Linked DNA regions of Drosophila melanogaster. The protein of the gene in region 2 purifies or fractionates together with the protein of the main gene of each other region. This does not show direct contact. Each region holds a gene or a part of one and is shown on either strand. Other genes may lie near its edges.

Evidence for each region. The genes of interacting proteins can lie anywhere in the genome.
Region 1: the proteins of gw (region 2) and nocte purify together in Drosophila melanogaster (affinity purification with mass spectrometry, with the first as the bait; one large-scale study listed by BioGRID). This does not show direct contact.
Region 3: the proteins of gw (region 2) and PAN2 purify together in Drosophila melanogaster (affinity purification with western blotting, with the first as the bait; one study listed by BioGRID). This does not show direct contact.

Annotation. Positions count from the first base shown.
Region 1 is NC_004354.4:10,471,441-10,476,559, forward strand, and holds the start of nocte (no circadian temperature entrainment), read right to left. Parts: upstream 3,236-5,119; 5' UTR 2,613-3,235; exon of another isoform or gene 2,498-2,612; intron 2,148-2,497; exon of another isoform or gene 1,729-2,147; intron 704-1,728; 5' UTR 530-703; coding exon 440-529; intron 344-439; coding exon 178-343; intron 99-177; coding exon 1-98. Other genes in the region: CG2889 (uncharacterized protein), read left to right, coding at 3,578-3,700, 3,762-4,182, 4,241-4,685, 4,743-4,955.
Region 2 is NC_004353.4:657,549-662,763, forward strand, and holds the start of gw (gawky), read right to left. Parts: upstream 3,061-5,215; 5' UTR 2,881-3,060; intron 2,436-2,880; exon of another isoform or gene 2,012-2,435; intron 961-2,011; 5' UTR 790-960; coding exon 354-789; intron 137-353; coding exon 1-136. Other genes in the region: CG46466 (uncharacterized protein), read right to left, coding at 3,607-4,425. UniProt on the Drosophila melanogaster protein: Required for gene silencing mediated by micro-RNAs (miRNAs). Silences both polyadenylated and deadenylated mRNAs. Required for miRNA-mediated translational repression and mRNA decay. Not required for miRNA target recognition.
Region 3 is NT_033778.4:8,926,357-8,933,838, reverse strand, and holds PAN2 (Poly(A)-binding protein-dependent poly(A) ribonuclease 2), read right to left. Parts: upstream 5,671-7,482; 5' UTR 5,540-5,670; coding exon 5,485-5,539; intron 5,382-5,484; coding exon 5,191-5,381; intron 5,131-5,190; coding exon 4,961-5,130; intron 4,904-4,960; coding exon 3,642-4,903; intron 3,581-3,641; coding exon 3,459-3,580; intron 3,406-3,458; coding exon 3,306-3,405; intron 3,249-3,305; coding exon 3,189-3,248; intron 3,130-3,188; coding exon 2,834-3,129; intron 2,770-2,833; coding exon 2,573-2,769; intron 2,509-2,572; coding exon 2,146-2,508; intron 2,085-2,145; coding exon 1,886-2,084; intron 1,825-1,885; coding exon 1,613-1,824; intron 1,549-1,612; coding exon 1,327-1,548; intron 1,269-1,326; coding exon 1,159-1,268; intron 1,097-1,158; coding exon 930-1,096; 3' UTR 736-929; downstream 1-735. Other genes in the region: AIMP1 (aaRS-interacting multifunctional protein 1), read left to right, coding at 5,740-5,898, 5,955-6,767; CG8237 (uncharacterized protein), read right to left, coding at 7,100-7,482. UniProt on the Drosophila melanogaster protein: Catalytic subunit of the poly(A)-nuclease (PAN) deadenylation complex, one of two cytoplasmic mRNA deadenylases involved in general and miRNA-mediated mRNA turnover.

The DNA of each region.
Region 1 (5,119 bases), on a different chromosome or scaffold from region 2:
ACTTCCGCTGTGGGCAGTGGTGTTGTTGTGGCTAGTGTTGGTTCCTGCCGCGCCAGATCCCGCTGCTCCGCCTGCGCCCGCCCCACCAGATGTGGCTCCTAAAATGGAAAATTCACCCAGTTAAAGGTACATCTTAGTACACACGCTTTCAATAAGATAAAATCGTAGAACACCCACCTTCGACTGAGACTAAGAGATTGTTGTTGCTGCTGGTGTGGGTCTCGGCCTTCAGGGATGGCAAATTGGCTGGTGGTCGCCTAGCGGACGGCACTTTGCCCAAGATTTGCATTCCATGTTTACGTGGCACTTGATTCTTTTGTGCAGATGGTTCACTTGACTCGCCCTGCAAACAATAAGAACAAGTTGGCGATCAGATAGGTTTGGATCTATCAAGATCTAGATGTAGATCTAGATCTAGGTCTAGGGGCTCGCTACTTACGCGGCTATTCTTGTACATGCGATTTATATCTAACGCTGTGAATTTGGGCTTGGCATTTCGCTCTCCCCTACTTCCCCCCAGTGTACTCATGCTGCCAATAGATCCTCATTAGCGTTAGCTTCCTTCTCGCCACCGCCGCGCTCCTCGTCTTCCCGCTGCGCTGGAGGATGGGCTAGGATGTGGCTGTGGTTCTTGACGAGAATGAGTTTAAGGAGCTGGGATCGCTTTTGGGCCGAAGCTCCTTGTTTCAGTCTTTCTGGTGGGCTGCAAAATACAAAAGCGTAGATAGGCATTTAATTGAGTATAGGTGCAGGCGTAGCGAGGCGAGGCTAGTCAGTTGCAAGTGGGTGGTGCTCCCGACAAATTGTTTTCAACACGCTGGTTATTGTGTGTCCGGGAACTCCTCTATTTAGCCACCCCCAACCGATCCGCACCACTAACGCTTACAGAGGTGGATCTGTAGCGAAAATTGGTTCTTCTTAGAAAGATATTGCAAATAATTTGGAAAATAACCTCTTCAAACAATAATAGGTATGGGTTTCAACTAAACCGAGTTTTAGTAGAAATGCTTTTGATATTTCATTTCCACTGAAACTAAAGAAGTTTCTTGGTAGTTTTCCAACACATGCTGTTGCGAAATACGTTCAAGTTCTTAATGCTTCGTTAAAGTAACAACTAGAGTGTAATTCCATTCGACTACTACCATTCGAAACTGTTTGTAGAATCATTTGGTATTTTGTTGATATTGCGTTTATTACGAAAACGTTTGGGGCAACTATTTCCCAGTTTCGCTCCCCCCTTTGATCCGACACTGAATGCAGGCAATGTTTGGTGCGAGCAGGACAGCCAGTGCCTCGCAGCACACGCAACTGAGAGGCTGCCTTGGGCGGGTGACAGCGGAAGCGGGACAGCTAGATAGATTTACCCACACACACACACCAGCGCCAGCAGCGGCAGAAGCGGCAACGCATTGAAAGAATTTTTTGCGGTGGCGTCTTGTAATAATTGCGGCAGGGGGCGTGAAGGGGCGGCCGAACAATGGCTGACAACTACAGCAACAATAGAAAAAACGGGGCCAGTAAAATCCTCGCAACAAGAGCGACAACAACAAAGGCCGGCATTTAAAATGTAACCAATTTGACAGATGCAAGTGGGGGGAGTACAAGACAATCTAAACGCTTGGCAACAATTCTATGTCTCCTTTTTGTAATAACAACCATTCACAAGCACAACGCACACTAACACCACGCAGGCACAGGCGCACACATCACGCACACACACACACTTACGTTCGCAGAAACCGAGAGGATTTGATAGTTATTATTTAATCGACGAGTGCAATTTTTTTTTTTGACCACCTTTTGTTTTACAGCCGTATCCTTTTATTAATTTTGCATGGCACAGTGGCTGGCAAAGGCAAACAAAGAGGAGAGACGAGTAAAATATACCGTTTAAACAGCACGCACGCACACAGCAATACACTCGGGGAGTTTCGTTTGTTGGGCAGCGATGATAAACTGAATGGAAAACGCTTGAATTTGTTTACTTCGAATGTTTCGCGGTCTGCTGGCACACTTGGCCGCCTGTATGTTGGTTATTTAACTGTTAACTTCGCGGAAATTGATATCTTTTGATTCTGCTTTTCACCGTCCAACATAAAGTTTGCCGCTAATTCTTCTTCCTCGAGTTCTTCCTCTACCACTTCTCACTTTTCGAATGTATTGCGTGCGTGAGTGGTGTGGAGCGCGGCGTTGCCACCTGGTCCGTTGGGATCCAGCCAGACCGCCGAGTGAAACTAATTCCGGGGGTGGCAGTCGCCTGGCAATTATTAAACAATTAGAGAGCGTGCTATTTAGCGATTAAACGGAAATTAACACGGACTCTATGCATCGATGCCGACAAAAAGAGAAAACGGACCACGATGACCTGCCGACGACAAATGCAACGCTGTTTGCGATATAGAGCGGGACAACATGACTAGCTGAACTTCCCTCCCACTCCCACACGTCGAATTTGACAGAACCGACAAAAATATTTCTTTGATACAATGCGTATTTTCTACAAACAAAATCACAGATTTACAAACCCGCTGTGCAATTAAACATAATTTAGCAAACAAATCTCGGTTCCGGCCTACTTCCAGAGCGAGAGCATGAGAGACCATAGAGCTTACCCTTTCGCACGCAGAGCACACACCGCAAACACAGTTCGTTGCTCCTTGGCTTCTTTCTTTCCTTCGCCTTTTTTTTGCACTCTTTCTGGCGCTTACTCAGCGCCCGTTTCGCCGCTTGTTAAAACACGGGACGAAAACAAAAGAGAGCGCAACCAAGACGAGACGTGCCGCTGCTGCAGTTGTTGTTGTTAGTCGCCTTTGTTCGCCAGAATCTTCGATTTGGTTGAATTTCGATTTCGATTTGGTTGCGATTTTCGCTATGTTGCGCTGGCTTTGTCAGCGCTCTCGCTCCCACTCACTTGCACTGCGCTCTCCCACTCTCCGCTCACTCGCGCCGTCCCTCTCGCGCGCTGTCGCTTTTTTGCAAGTGTAGGTGGAAAATGGTATCGGGTGAGGAGGCTTCGAGTAAACCCGTTTGAATTCGCTTTTTCCACGGGTTTTTGCCTTTCCTTCGCTAGGTTTTAGCTCTGCACACACACTACACACGCACACGAGTTGCGTTTCTTATTTGTTTTGATTATTTGCGTTGCGTTCTTTTCACGTAATACGTAATTGTCCATTAGTTTTAAATCGTATGTATTATTTTTTTGCCATTTTACGGCAAGCGTTGCCAGAGTTGTGTGGGTCGATTGGCGTGCTGCCTGACCGTCCGCAGAATGCCATCGTTTTGATGTGTATCCAGCGATATATTAAGTTTCATATTTTCGATTTTTAATTAATGGATAATCGTTTACAGCGTATTTTGCAGACAATTAAAAACGTAGACCATAAATTGTAAGAGAAATTAAAGAGAAATACTCAACGATCAGGGTGGCCACCCCGCAAAAAACTCCTGAGATGAAGTTTTGCCATTCACAATTGGATTCTGTTATCGATTCACGATAGGTGAATTATGTTGTTTACAACGAAAAACTGTTTAAATTTTTTATTTATTTGACTTTGCGTTGTGGTTCTGTTCGCGCGAAATGATTTGTCGCCTTTGCCTGCGATGTCTTAGTCCCGGAAGCGCTGTCTTCCTCTTTGAGACGGACGATACGCTTGCGGAGACGCGCCTGGTCAAGATGATTGCGAAGTTTCTGCAGCTGGAGGTGAGTGTATCTGGCAAATACCAATGGTATCAAAACAATTCCAATAAGCCATCCCATGCAGATCCTACCAGACGACGGCATCTCGACCAGCGTCTGTACCGAGTGCTGTGAGCATCTGGAGGACTTCAATGGCTTCTGGCAGCTGGTGGAGCAGAAGCAGTGCTCACTCAAGAAGGAGTTCCTTACCGTGGACGTCGACTGTGCGGCCATGAAGTGGACGGGCGGTGTGGACGTGGACGTCAACATCGACGAACTGCCGCTGGCGGCTGGCGACATGGACGAGAAACCGTTGGACCTGCACAACCTTAGTCTGCTGGGAAGCGTGCTGGACGTGAATGTGGACAGTGTGGAAGTCAGGGAACCGATCAAGGAGCAGCTGCCCTGCGAGGAGGAGGAGGACGAGAAGCCCTGCCTGCAAGCTAGTGATAGCGAACCGGAGGTGACCGAGGGGCAGCCGGAATCTGAATCTGACTCCTCAGATGGTTATTATCTTAATGTTTCCCAAGGATTAGCCGTAACTAAGTTCCTGTTCCATTGCAGATGAACCCCTGGTCCGTCTGAAATCGAAAATGAAGCCCAAGCGCAAAACCTCGGCACGTTCCTCCAAGGATCAGGGTCCGATATCGCTGCAGCAGGAGCTTGCAGATCTGCTCGACGATGGTGGCAAGCGTCGGCGCAGGAAGGCACCTGACCAGCGAACAACCACCGAGTCGCAGGAGTCCGAGCTACAGGCCGTTCTCGAGCGCAAGCCCAAGGGCTGCTCCCGTGCTCAGCTGGCCAAGAGCTACGAGAAGGCCATTGCTAGCTACATGAGTGCAAGCTGCGACCTGTGCGAATTTAGTGCTCCCTACCTATCCGAATTGAAGACCCACTTCCTGGAGGTGCACCAGCGCGAGTACTACATCAAGTGCTGCGGCAAAGTCTTTACACGCGCTTCCAAGCTGATGGACCACATCCGCAAACATATCAACCCCAAGCTATTTACGTGAGTTTGAAGCCCGAGGGTTCTGTCTGTTGCTACATAGACTTTAAAATCCCATAGCTGCACCATTTGCAAGAAGTCGCTCAACTCGCAGGACTACTTGGCCACTCATATCGAGACGGTGCACAACAAGGTGGCTCAAATCGGCAAGGTGCTCAAGTTCCCGTGCCCCAAGTGCGAACGCACCTTCAGCAGCGAGCGCCGTATGGCCAATCATCTGGCCAAGCACGACACCGATCAACTGGAGCACACCTGCGAGATCTGCTGCAAAAGGTGAGAATAGAGCAGGGTCTCTGATCGAATTGGAATTCTTGCCCCATATTTGAATTAGTAATCTTTATTCATTCCACACGCAAATGAGAGGGATAGCTGTCTACTTATTCCGCACTCACACTGTTTCGAGAATAGCAAGAAAGAAATAATTTTTTTAAGATAAA
Region 2 (5,215 bases):
ATATCCATGGAGCCACCAACTCCCAAAGGGCGTATTTCACGAGGGTCTCCCCAACCGTTACCAGCGTTGCTGGAGTTTCCGCTACTACCTGTTGCGACTCCAGACGATCCAGTTATATTGCTTGACCCGTTACCTCCTTAAATAACAGCAGAAATATAAAAGTATTTCGGGTTAATGAAATAAAAGTTTCTGTAGAACTTAGAATAGGTAATTCCCCAGATAAGGCTCCAACTTCAATTACTACACTTTATGTTTTTATCATGTATTGTTAGTCACATTTTGAGGGAAAAGCTAGAGCCTTTATCTGATCGTTTGCGCTTAACTTCATTAATTCTAATAGATATTAGGCCTACCAGTTGATCCAAGTCCGACGCCAACGACACCTTGTCCCCACTGAGGTCCGCCAGACGAAACAACACCGCCTGGACCGACATTAACTCCGGCTTGGTTTACTCCCACTGCAGCTCCGGATCCCGCGTTGCTAACAGCTCCTCCAGTCCACACACTACTACTATCGGCGCCATCGTCGTCCTCACCCCATGTTCCACCTAAGTTAGAGGATGGTGTATGACCCCACGACGGCTTTGGAACTTGCTGTGCGGCCGGCTGACCTCCGTTTCTCAAATTGGACTCCCAAAGATCAGTACCATTGTTAATGCTTGGCTTCCACATTGGTGGACCGGGTGCATCCTTATTGGCTGGTTCTGGCGAACTGGGAACTTCCCAATTAGTATCCTGGTTAACATGCTGACAGCCCCAGCCATCTTGGGAAAAAAGGGCTTCACGCATAGTGCTCAAGTGTTCTAACTGATTGTCAGCTTCAAAAGTAGCATTCCTTACTATTCCAACATCCACTTGATCTTTAACTTCATTATCATAAGCATTTATGGCAATTTTTAAAAGTTATTTAATTTAATCGAAAAGGAATGACTTAATCTGAATCCTTGTTCTTTCCGTGTTCTGTAGAAATATAGAAAACATTTATTATTTTTATTACAAAATATTCATTCTAAATCAAATTGCTAAGTTCTTTTTTTATTTTCTTGTATATACACAGGATAAATAAACTTAATCACCGTGATACGTTTATGCTTTATACACATTATTAATAGAGTAAAATGGTATATGGTATACCAGATTTGTTCTAAAGTATGTTACATAGCGGAAGCGTTTTCGACATAAAAGCTAGACAGTTGAGAATAAGCATGCAGATTCTAGTGACCCCTACGTTGTGCACGTTTGTTTTTAGTTTTTCTATTGTTCGTTGTTCTTAAAAAATTTTTTAATTCTGATCAGCTTTTCGTAGGCTTAATCAATATCTTCTTTACAGATTTTTAACTGCATAACATCAGTTAAAATTCTGAAGGAGAAATCATAAAAATTTAAGCTTTATAATCGATTCAAAAAGTCTGAGGACATACATATGGGTATATAAGAGTGGGAGTCATTTGACAGGAGTTAAACATGTATACTTAGTATGTACATAAAGAATTTTAAAAATGAAATATGCATCGCGATCGCTGACCTACCAGGTCTGCTGCCCAACCGGCAGAATCCCCACCCACATTAACGACAAATTCCTGTGTGAAAAACGAATGCATGTCAAAAAATAAAACAATTAAATTCACAACTCTGTAATGGTATATAAATATACATATGCATATGTACACAAGTAAAATGAATTTGTCAACTCTGGGCAGGCAGACATTGACGGAAGCACCCTATTTTATGTCTCCCTTTCCTAATTTCGCACTTGCAATTATGCTCAAATAAACTTAGAATTTAAAATGTATTTACACAACCTGTATATATGCAAGTATTGGCAAAAAGACTAATGCGATAGATATATACATGTATATACATTTGTATGAATACATTTTCAGTACTCTAGTGCATATGTAGAGAAGTCATTGTACAATACTTAGTATATTCGCGTGTCTTGTACCCTATGTGTAGAAATACAAGCGAAAAGCTGAGAACGTCACAAAATGGAGATCTAACTAAAACCTACCAAACAGAAATTAGAAATTAATATCTATTGCCAGAATATGCGTTTATAGTAAAATTGAACACTTGTGTATACGCTAATAGTTCACCGAATATTTGCAACAATTTTTGCCTTTACTGAACGAGAAGTTGATTTTCTCTATATATGTAAATATATGTGCATTTTTGTGTGTATGCATGTCAAGCCACTTTGACGAGTTCACAAAGTGTGTATGTGTTGTAAAACATACACACATTCGACAATCAATTATAGTTTTTCATATTTCACAAAATAAACTGGGATTAATAACAATCTTGAATGCGAAAACTGATTAGACTCAACAATAATTATAATTCGATGTAATTGAATATAAATTTCTGCGCACGTTCGACGATGGGGACGGCAGTTACTAGTGTATTAAATAAACCCATACAGATATTCCTGCTTGCAATATTGCCACCTAGTCAAAATTTAAAGACGGAATGGAAAGGTATGTGGAGTATAGACTAATGCAAATATGCAAAATGCTTACTTTATTTTTAATTACACTATTACTAAATTTTAACTGTTGGTGTGGAAAACCTCAAAGCAAATGCGACACATTTAAATTCCCTATTGCTTTGTCATTATGTAAAAGATTTAAAGCGTGGCAACTCTTGACTGGAACATATGTACATATAGACTTTTCCAATGCACGATACACAAGCGAACAGAATTTATTCTGCACTGATACACACATGCGTATGTCCGAAACTAAACGCTTGGGTTTTTGCGACCATTTAGGTTATGCACACTTAGGTTATGTCAGAAAGTTTCGCTTTTAATCGTACTGAGTACGTCTTCAACCATACATTAAAATTATTCTACTTCAATTTAGCTGCATTACTCCGTACATTCTATCCGTGGTGGGCTGTTGGCAATCTTTTCGTTTTAATGACAAAGCGCTTGTTTTCGAAAGATTACGCACACAAAAACATTCACTACTCGTGCTAATTCATTTTAACACACGCAATTTAAATAAAAAGTAACTATACGATGCTCTCACTCGCACTTCGCCTGGATCACGACAGACTCTTCTAGGTAGATGTCCGATATTTTCTTAAACTAATCGATATTAATCAATCTTAGGTAATACCCAGTTTACACAACTGCCTAAAATAAGTGCTGTGACCCGTTCACATCGAAGAGGTCAGATAGAGGGTACACAACAGAAGGATTAATTGATTAAAATAAATTAGCTGATATAATTTAAATTAATTCAAAACAGAGCTGTTTCAAACAAGTTCCAACTCATATAACTCTCGACCATTTCTAACAATTCAAATGAAATTTAAGGGATTAAAACAATACAGTGAGATAACATATGCATTAATAAATTTTAAAGCTTGAATGCCTTATTGAAGTGAGAATTGAAACAGGTTTGGGCAATCCATTAAATTCATAACTTATTTTATTAAGTCTATGTTAAAAAAGAATCCTTAATAATGTAATGTATAAAGTTTGGACTTACGACCGATTAATATTAATGTGTATGTTTTGGTGTTTTGCCTTGAAATCAAATGAAATTATGTTCTAAAATATCGGCTCTCCTTCGACTATCTATGAGATTTAAATAGGTTTTACCAATTGCTAAGAAAATCGAAACCCTTAGGCATTTTTAGTTCAGGGGATAACAGTTTTGTATTTTCGTCTTGACGTGCATCTTTAAATTCGTTTTCATAATCAGACAAGTCGTTTAACACACTGTTTTTCGATCCACATTTAACGAGCAGTTGCATTTTCTCATTAGATTCAATACATTCATCAATATAAACAGTTTGGGTTTTTGAGAAGTTTTCATGAATGGAAATCTTTCTTTCCGTTGTGTTAACGCCGGTTTTATCATTAGAATTAAGGTGGAGAATTGGTATTTTTTTATTGGTTGAATCTTTTGTCTTCAATTTTAAATGAATGGCCTTTTTTACGCCTAATGGAGTTTCAACAAGACAGATATCATCAAATTCTTTTAATACTATGTTAATTTGTGATTTGGTTCGATAAGAAAATGGAAACGAATGTTCATCTTGAAAATCTCCGGTGTTTTCATCGCGTAATATTTTTAAACCAACGTTTTGATAATTATATGTGTGTAAATCTTGGCCGTTATATAAATATACAATGTCTCTGAAACAAAATTTACGGTAATCATTTTTACTAACTTCAGTATTTTCGTACGGATCCTGTGCCGCATAGTTTTCTTTAGTCTTATGACAGTACTTAGAAAATATAACAGGATCTATTAATTGGTTATTCAATATTTTTTCCTGTTCGTTTAAAGTCAATTTAAGCCAAGCGTCTTGGTTGTATGTAGATTTAACTTTATTGAGATCGCAGGTAATTTTTTCGGAAATTGAATTAAGACGTGAGAAGTATGACTGAGCCTCATCGTGTGTTGTCATTTTTGATCTGAAAATAAATATGGTTTGCTGTATTAAATGGTTAGCGGAACGTTAGATTCTATCATAAAATCGAATAATTATATTAACCTGAATTCTTGAAAAAGTATTTATAATTCTTTTATACTCTTCACTCGTAAAGTAAGGGGGTTATTAAAAATTAAAAAAGAACATAACAGGTGAACAAAAAGGTTTCCGAGACTAGTTAATGAACTTCGGGATTTGGACACTATATGATGTCCAAACCGAAAACAAATGCAATAAAAAAGAAATATATAACCTTAGAATCAAATTAGCCCACCTCTCCTTTATTTACATTACTAATTTTTGGTAGCCAGAGGAGTGCTTCCCGACATTACAACATTCATAGGGGCAGACGGAAGTATCAACTCGGATGGGTGTTTCTTTCTAATCTAGACACATACATATGTATGTATATACTACATAGGGTTTATGTGTGTTTAAATTGATATGGGCGTTACAGTTTTGAACGATTTGTAGGTATTTGGTTAAAATTGTTTTTGGCAGTTTTTGGGCGGTTCGTGGTCGTTAGAACAAGCGTGTAAACATTTGGAAACATGTGAGTATAAAATGGGATCGATGCGTTCCTATTACATACATATACTTTCTATGATCGGAGACGGTTTCTTCTACCAATTACATACATTGCAGCGAATCTAATACATATACGATTTTACTTTACAAGTAATGGGTATAATATAGGAAATAAACAAAAATCGGCAAGCCGATTTTTATATGCTTATACTGAATAATATCTATTTATGATCACGAA
Region 3 (7,482 bases), on a different chromosome or scaffold from region 2:
TCCTCTAAGCGTATGTGTTCCTTAAAATAGTATCCATAATAAGATTTATGCACTGCCTCGAACCATGATTCTTAGCCACCTGGTCCTCCAGCGTCTTTTTTGTGCACATACGTGATCCCCTGCTCATCCGTATAGACGTGATCTGCTGGCGACGATGCGTGATGGAACTGACCACCTACTCCTGGCACCTTGTATACGCCATCGTTCTGCCCCCGAATGTAGACTTGATTGCCGGGTGTTCCGAAAACGTGAGGCCCATCATGTCCGTCGTATGTCCGCTGGAGATCGGCAGCTGAGGGAGCAATGGAATCGTCGATTAGTCTCCGTTTGGGCGAGACCATGGTAAAGGGATTTTTCACCAACGCACAAAACAGCGCAAGCGATCGGCACGAGAAGTCCAAGCAAATGCATTGTCATCTATGTTCCCTGAGTGAATGGTGAGCTCTAACAACTAACTGGCTTGACTTGCTCGTCGTGGTATTTATAAGTAGGTGCGCAGTAGTCCAACATCAGGTTATTCATCAAATTGGCGACAGCATCTCAAAAATTCACAAACGCCGCTGGTGATAGGGGAGGGCGAATGAGAATTTCAAAGGAATTGAATCGATTGACGTGCACGATCCCTGAACACATCTGTTGCCCGCTTTTGCCTATTAGCCCGATTGTGGATTTGATAAGCAACTTAGATTCGCATCAACGATCAATAAAGCATCACTGATAAGAAATACAACTTTTATGCTTTGTTTTGATTTTGTTATAAAGATAGACAAATACAACATGAAATACCAGGAGCTTCGTAGCAAATAGCAACGCATTAAAACATAATAAAATTGGGAGAAGCCGGGATTTTTTCAGATCGGTGTAGCGTTTGTACTGACGATAACGTTGATTATGAGTTTCGTCGAATTGGCATCGGGTTTGGCGACGAATCAGTCCTCTGGAACCTTCCACTGCAGCTGCTTTCCGCGTTCGTAAAGATTCTTGAGAGCGTTGGCAAACTTCTTCTCCTCCTGCAGCTTCAAATAGTGCTTGTAGAGCTGCAGAGTGGTCCGTGCATCTTCGATGGAGTCGTGCGTCTCGGACTGAATCTTAGTACCTTTGGCATTAGGAAAACCCAATTAGATACAATTCCAAATCGAAGAAAACCCCTATACAAACCCAAGAAATGCCAGGCTAGAAATCTTAGGGAAACCATGCGATGATGTGGCATGTGAAACAGGTGCACCGTATCTATTATCTGCTCCGACGGTACATAGATGTTTATGACCCTGCAATCACATGGAAGTTTAGTGGTCTATTGGTTCCTTACAAAGCAGGGCATCCCACCTAAAGTCGTTCTTCAGACCATGTCCGACAAATATTACTCCTACGTCAACGAGGTATTTTAATTTCTGGTATGAGTACTTCAAGGCAGTCAGTCGCTTTTTGCTGAAGTTAGCGTCCAAGTCGCCAGGCTTGATTCCCGAGAACTGAGTTAGGTAGTCCACGACCTTCTCCTGGGTGGATATGTAATCGTCCATGAATGGAACTCCTTCAGCCGGGCCTTGTCTGTAAAGAATTCATACCCGTGCTTATCGAGATGAATATTTTTAAGTTTCAGTTAATGAATTACCCTCGTATACATGAAATCCGGGCCACACTCATGTGGCATGGCTTAATGGTCGCCGTTTTGCCATCCGGGCGAATCTCATTTTCCTCTGGATTTAGGGTAACGAACTCGGCATCCATTGCGACCAGATCACCCGACTGCGGCATTTCATCTGACTGCAGGGGCTGCAGCGTGGCGTCTGCACTTAAGTTGCCTAGCATAGGACTCACAATTTCCTGGTAGGATTAAGATTCAGATTAGCATTCAGCAGACTCAATGCTATATTAAACTATTAACCTCTAGAAAAGGGTTGGATAGATTTGTTGGCGAGCCGCTGCTGCTCTCTGATGGAATGGTTTCTTCACTTTCCGTGACGGTCGAGCTAGTAGTACTAGCAGACTCAGAGTCATCCTCTACGTGTCTGTAGAAGAGTATGCAAGGAACTTTCCAATCCAATGTGAACCATACCGATTCTTGTGGCGAAACGGGCGATATGCTGTTGAGCGATATATGAGCAATATTAATCGAAGGCCATTCACAATAGAGATCTAACTTACCTAAAATCATTAAAAATATACCATTGACTCTGAGGGTCATCTGCAGATTCAGCCAGTTTCATGGTGTGGTATGGCCGCTGCACATTTATCAACGATACCAAGTTCTTTTGGGTACCATCATCGACTTGGCACACCACGGCATGCAGCGCGTACATCCGATTGTTGTCCAAGCCCTTTGTTGGTGGCTTTTCCGTTTCCTCCTCCTGTTCCGATTTGCCACTGCTTGCATCTGATTGAGTTTGCACCTGCACCTCACCTTGGTCATTGATGCCCATAGTAAATGTAAGGGGAAACCAGGACTTTTGGCGTCCATTGGGAGAATTGTTGACAGCATTCGGTTGGCTTGTGTGCGATGGAGATTTTCTGCACAGTAGGTACAACAATATGCATAAGACGACTGATTCAGTTTCGATTCGTCGTAACTCACCGATCCGGATGCATGAAATGGCAGTCACTTCGCGAACAGTTGGCTCCATATCGACACGGCTTGCTTGTGCTCAAGGAAGCGGCCGCATCAACAGTCGTCTTTTCGCTGCAGCGATTGAGCTGGCGCTTCAGGAAGGTAATGTCTTTTTCGTTGTTGAGGCCACAGTTAATGGACAGAATTTGCGGAAGCGAAGTCACCTGAAATTCAGATGCATTACATATGTAACTTCTTGCTTGGTTCACTATAAAGTTAGCTCCCGACCTTCACGCTCTGATTGGTTGGCGAAAACTTCTTACATCTCTCGCAGAAGGCCTGAATACTCTTCTCGGAGCTGAGAGATCGCTTCAAAATGGTGCCAAAGTTGAAATACTGATCACTATCTTTGATGTGGTTGGGATACGACAAATTGCAGGCAAGTAGAATGCTTTCCTTTATCTTCTCTTCTTGGCATTTGATGCAGCGGTTTATACAGATTTGCTTGGTCCCAAAGATCTTACTGATGTCAGTTTCTGCGTTGATCTTACTGCGTTCCCGATCGTCCTCCTTGGAGTTCTCATCTGTTCATATACGTACATATGATTAGAGTGTTAGTTAAACCATTAATTCACCTGCCCACCACTTATGGAATCGTAAAGGTCCGAGGAGCCACTTGTTTCTGAAGAGCCCGCGTTTTCCGCTGCAAAATAAATCGAAGTTTCACTTATTTGTAAAGGATAAACTCGGCTGTGGTTACCGTTCGTTGATGTTTGCACAGATCCGCTGTAGGTGGATGCGTTCTTGCTAGAATCGAATATTTCGTAATGCATTTGATGCAAAATGAATCGGTTCCAGTTCTGAGAGTGTGCATAAATTAAATATCTGCTTAGGAAACCATGGTATTACTTGCCTGTATCAGCGATATTAGATTGACGTTCGATGAGCGGTCGGTGAGAATCAATCCCAGTGCCGAGGCCTCTGGCACAGTGCGGAAAGATCGCAGGAAATTGCTGGCCTGGCAAGGTGAAGAAGCTGAAAGGAGCACACATAAATACTTAAACTAAGGATAGTTAAGTTACACAAGCAAACTAACCGGTACTTTTATCCAGCATGTTGAAGAGGAACCCTAGTTCGCAGGACAGGCAAAACTCCTTGATGCACGAATGCTCCAGCAGCTTCACGCGAAGCGCGTCGGTGAAATACAAAATCTGTAGCATAGCATTGCAGTAGGAGTTCGGTAGCGTTGCCTCCAGCCCCGCGAAACATGTTTGATTATGCTGGTCAAAGTCAAAGTCCTGGGTGCCCAGCTTCGTGTACTTCAGCTCGACTTTGCGATACCGCCGTGGAATGATTTTCACACCGTTCTCCGCCTTGGTCGCCGCCGCAGTTCCATTTCCGTTCGGACTGCACACGCCGCCCTGCTCAATCACGTACGGAATTTGATTACGACGGGCGGTGCGTGGGTTTGGCGAGTATCCAATCGGTCCCTGCATTTTCATGTTGCTCAGCACTTCGGGATCAATGGTCTTGGGCCTGTGGTAGCGGTAGCGCAGCAGTTCCTCCGGCCAATCTGAGAACCATTGTGTGCCCGTCGTCAAGTGCGGTAGCATGACCGACGATAGCGGAAAGTTGGTGTCCGTAATGGAGACCATCGGCAGCTGTGGCACCACGTCCGCAAACTCTGTGCTTCGCGAGTAGAGATTGAACTGCGGCTGAGGCGTTTGTACAGCGGCAATCATGTTGATGTGGCCCGACTGGTCCCCAAATGCCATGGCCTGTGAAGAGGAGCTAATGTCGAAGCTGAGGCACTGGCTGCCGTTGGTGTTGATCTGGTACATGGATACTCGCGGCTCGCTGAGCTCCACAGTGTCCACCAGCTGAACCTGGCCGTAGCTGGACACGACGGCCAGTTGGGATGTCAGCGATGGCAGGAACTTCAACATCTGCGGATCAATCATCACTTGAATGGGCGCGATCAGGCGCAGCATGCGCAGATCGTAGACCATTAGGAAGCGGTCGATGGCCAGGTTATTTTGCCTTCCGCTGTAGCCGCAAGAGATTAGCAGATTTCCCTGGACACTGAAGTCCGAAAGGATGTTGGTGTGCGTCTTGATTGTGTGCTGAACACTCAGGCTGTTCAGGTCGCGCAACGTTACCGTTCCCAGCTGGTCGCCGGCAAACAGATAACGTGAATTCTTGCGTAGCACCGTGCATCCGCCGGCACCCACATGCTCTATGCGGGTTTCCTTGAGCGTGCGCAGGTCGAAGTCGATAAGCTCGTCCTGCAGTCCGGCCATGACCAGACGATGCGGTGATAGCTGCAGCATGCTCACCATCTCCTTCATGTTGTTCGATCTGCAAGAAATTGAAACCTCACTTTCGGGGAATCTTTGTGCCAGCGCGGTGGCTTACTTGAAGGTAAACTTGGGCAGACCCCTGCGGATCTGATGACGCAGCGAGGTCTGCGTGAGCGCCAGCACTCCGGAGTCCAGGGTGGAGATGTCGCGCACAATGTCGGTGGCGTGGACCTGAAAGGATGTGTACTTCTGCATGGAGTTTGTGTAGTACGATGTGACGTGGCCCTGCGGGAAGGAGCGAAGATTCAGGATTAGTAAGCCTGGCAGGCTGGACGAGGAACTCACGCCCTGGTTGCCCATCCACAGCAGCTCTTCGTAGTCGTCGAACGCCACGCTGGAAACGCCGAAGTGCTCCCCGCCGTCGGCAAGCACGGGCACAAGCTCCACATATTCCGGATCGGTGGTGCCGATGTTGAATCCATTGAAGCTGGGCGAAAAGTGCCCGTTTCCCGGCGCAGATCCCGCGTCATAAACACCTTTTCAAAAAGTAAACAGAAAACAAAGGAGAAAGCTTTAGCTGGCTTGCGTGTGTGTGTGCGTGTGGGTGAGCGTTGGCCCCAAAGCGACCCCTTGACCCACTTAGTATGTCTTCGGAGGCCCCGATGGGGTCGGTGCCGCAATACACGTAATCCATCTGCCGCACGCCGATGCCCACGCGACTTTTTATTGTTTATTTTTTAACAAATTTCGCTCAAAACTGCCAGCCGTTTTTGCGTTGCACCGATTAGAGTGACCCTGGCAGGGCTGATGTAAAAATACTCTCGCTTCTCCGCCAACGAACTACCTGTCCAACGCTGCGCGACGCCACTGTGCGTGGCAAGAAGAAGCACTGCAATGCTGCGTAGAGCTGCCACGACTGTGGGATCCGCATGTAAAAATTACGGCCAGAATTGCTCAAAATTCGCGAGAAACAAAAGAACAATGGCCGATCTGCAGCAGATTGCAAGCAACAACGAGCGCGCCGAGGCGCTGATCAACTCCATTGAAGCCGAGGCAAGTATTTCCGCCTGCCAGCGCCTGCGAACACTCGATAACCTACTGCCCCCCAGATTTCCGGCATCCAGCAGCAACTTGTGGAGCGCCAGAAGCAGGAGCTGATCAAGGAGAACGCTGCACTGGCCAAGGAAGTTGAGGCGGCTTTGGCCCAGCTGGTGCAGCTGGAGCTGCGAAATGGCAAGAAACAGATTCCGGTGCCTGGAGCCCGGGGTTTCTGCACCAGTGCGGCCCCAGTAGTTATGCCGGCAGAGGCTGGACCTGCTACCGCTGCACCCGCTGCCCCGGCTCCTAAGCCGGCCAAGGAGCCCAAGGAAAAGAAGTCCAAGGAGAAGAAACCGGCCGCCGAGAAGCCCGCCGCCGCTCCGGAGGCTCCCGTCGACGTCGGTCGCCTGGATTTACGCGTGGGCAAGATTGTGGAGGTGGGTCGCCATCCCGACGCCGACAGCTTGTATCTGGAGAAGATCGACTGCGGCGAGGCGGCTCCACGCACCGTGGTGTCCGGTCTGGTGAAGTTCGTGCCCCTGGAAGAGATGCAGAACCGTCTGGTAGTGGTCATGTGTAACCTGAAGCCGGCCAAAATGCGCGGCGTCACCTCGGAGGCTATGGTCATGTGCGCATCTACACCGGAAAAAGTGGAAGTGCTCAGTCCGCCCGCCGGAGCTGTTCCCGGCGACCTGGTTCACTGCGAGGGCTATCCGCGCCAGCCAGACGCCCAGCTCAACCCCAAGAAGAAGATCTTTGAGTCGTGCGCCCCGGATCTGAAGACCAACGGCGAACTGGTTGCCTGCTACAAGGGCGCCGCTCTCCATGTTCCTGGCAAGGGCAACGTGGTGGCCCAAACCCTGAAGAACGTCAATGTGAAGTGAGCCAATAAACGAAACTAAAGCTTTGAGCCAATAAACGAAACATCACCGCCTGCACACCATTTCAGTATCAGAACTTCATTATCATTCAGTTTCTAGTACCAGTGAAGAGTAGCTCTACAGGAATATCGGAAGCTCTACTGATCATTGGGATTACTGGTTATGTTTGATTATCGTGCAGATTCTGAGGTATTCATGTGATATTTTATTTTATTTCACACGACAGCAGTACATAACGACATTAAATTTATCATTAACAAGTCTATTTATATGTGCATAGGAAGTGCATAGGAGTGCGCCATTCCTACACACTTTGGCTGGTTTAAGTGCCGTCCTCAGCGATTATTGCGCTGCGCTTGCCCTTGGGTGCGGAACACGGCAATGGAATTGCTCTCCACCACAATCGTTTTGGTTAGGACGTCGTAGGCGGTGCGATTGTTCTTGAAGAAGACCATCAACACGCAAATGGGGAAGAGCAGGGTCATCCCCAGGTTCTTGATCAGCGCGCGGGCGAAGGAGCGCATCAGCGAGGGAGTCTGTGGCGGATAAAGCAGAGCCCTCATCGGCTCCCTCTGCGGCTGGAGGACGAACTGTGGAAGGGGCGGCCCCTGAAGCGGCATCACTGCTTCCACATAGTATATGCGTATCTTCATCAGCGACTTGCCCGGCGTAGCCCCTTGGTATAGGTATGTCCACAGCGCTTCGTAGCAGCAAACGA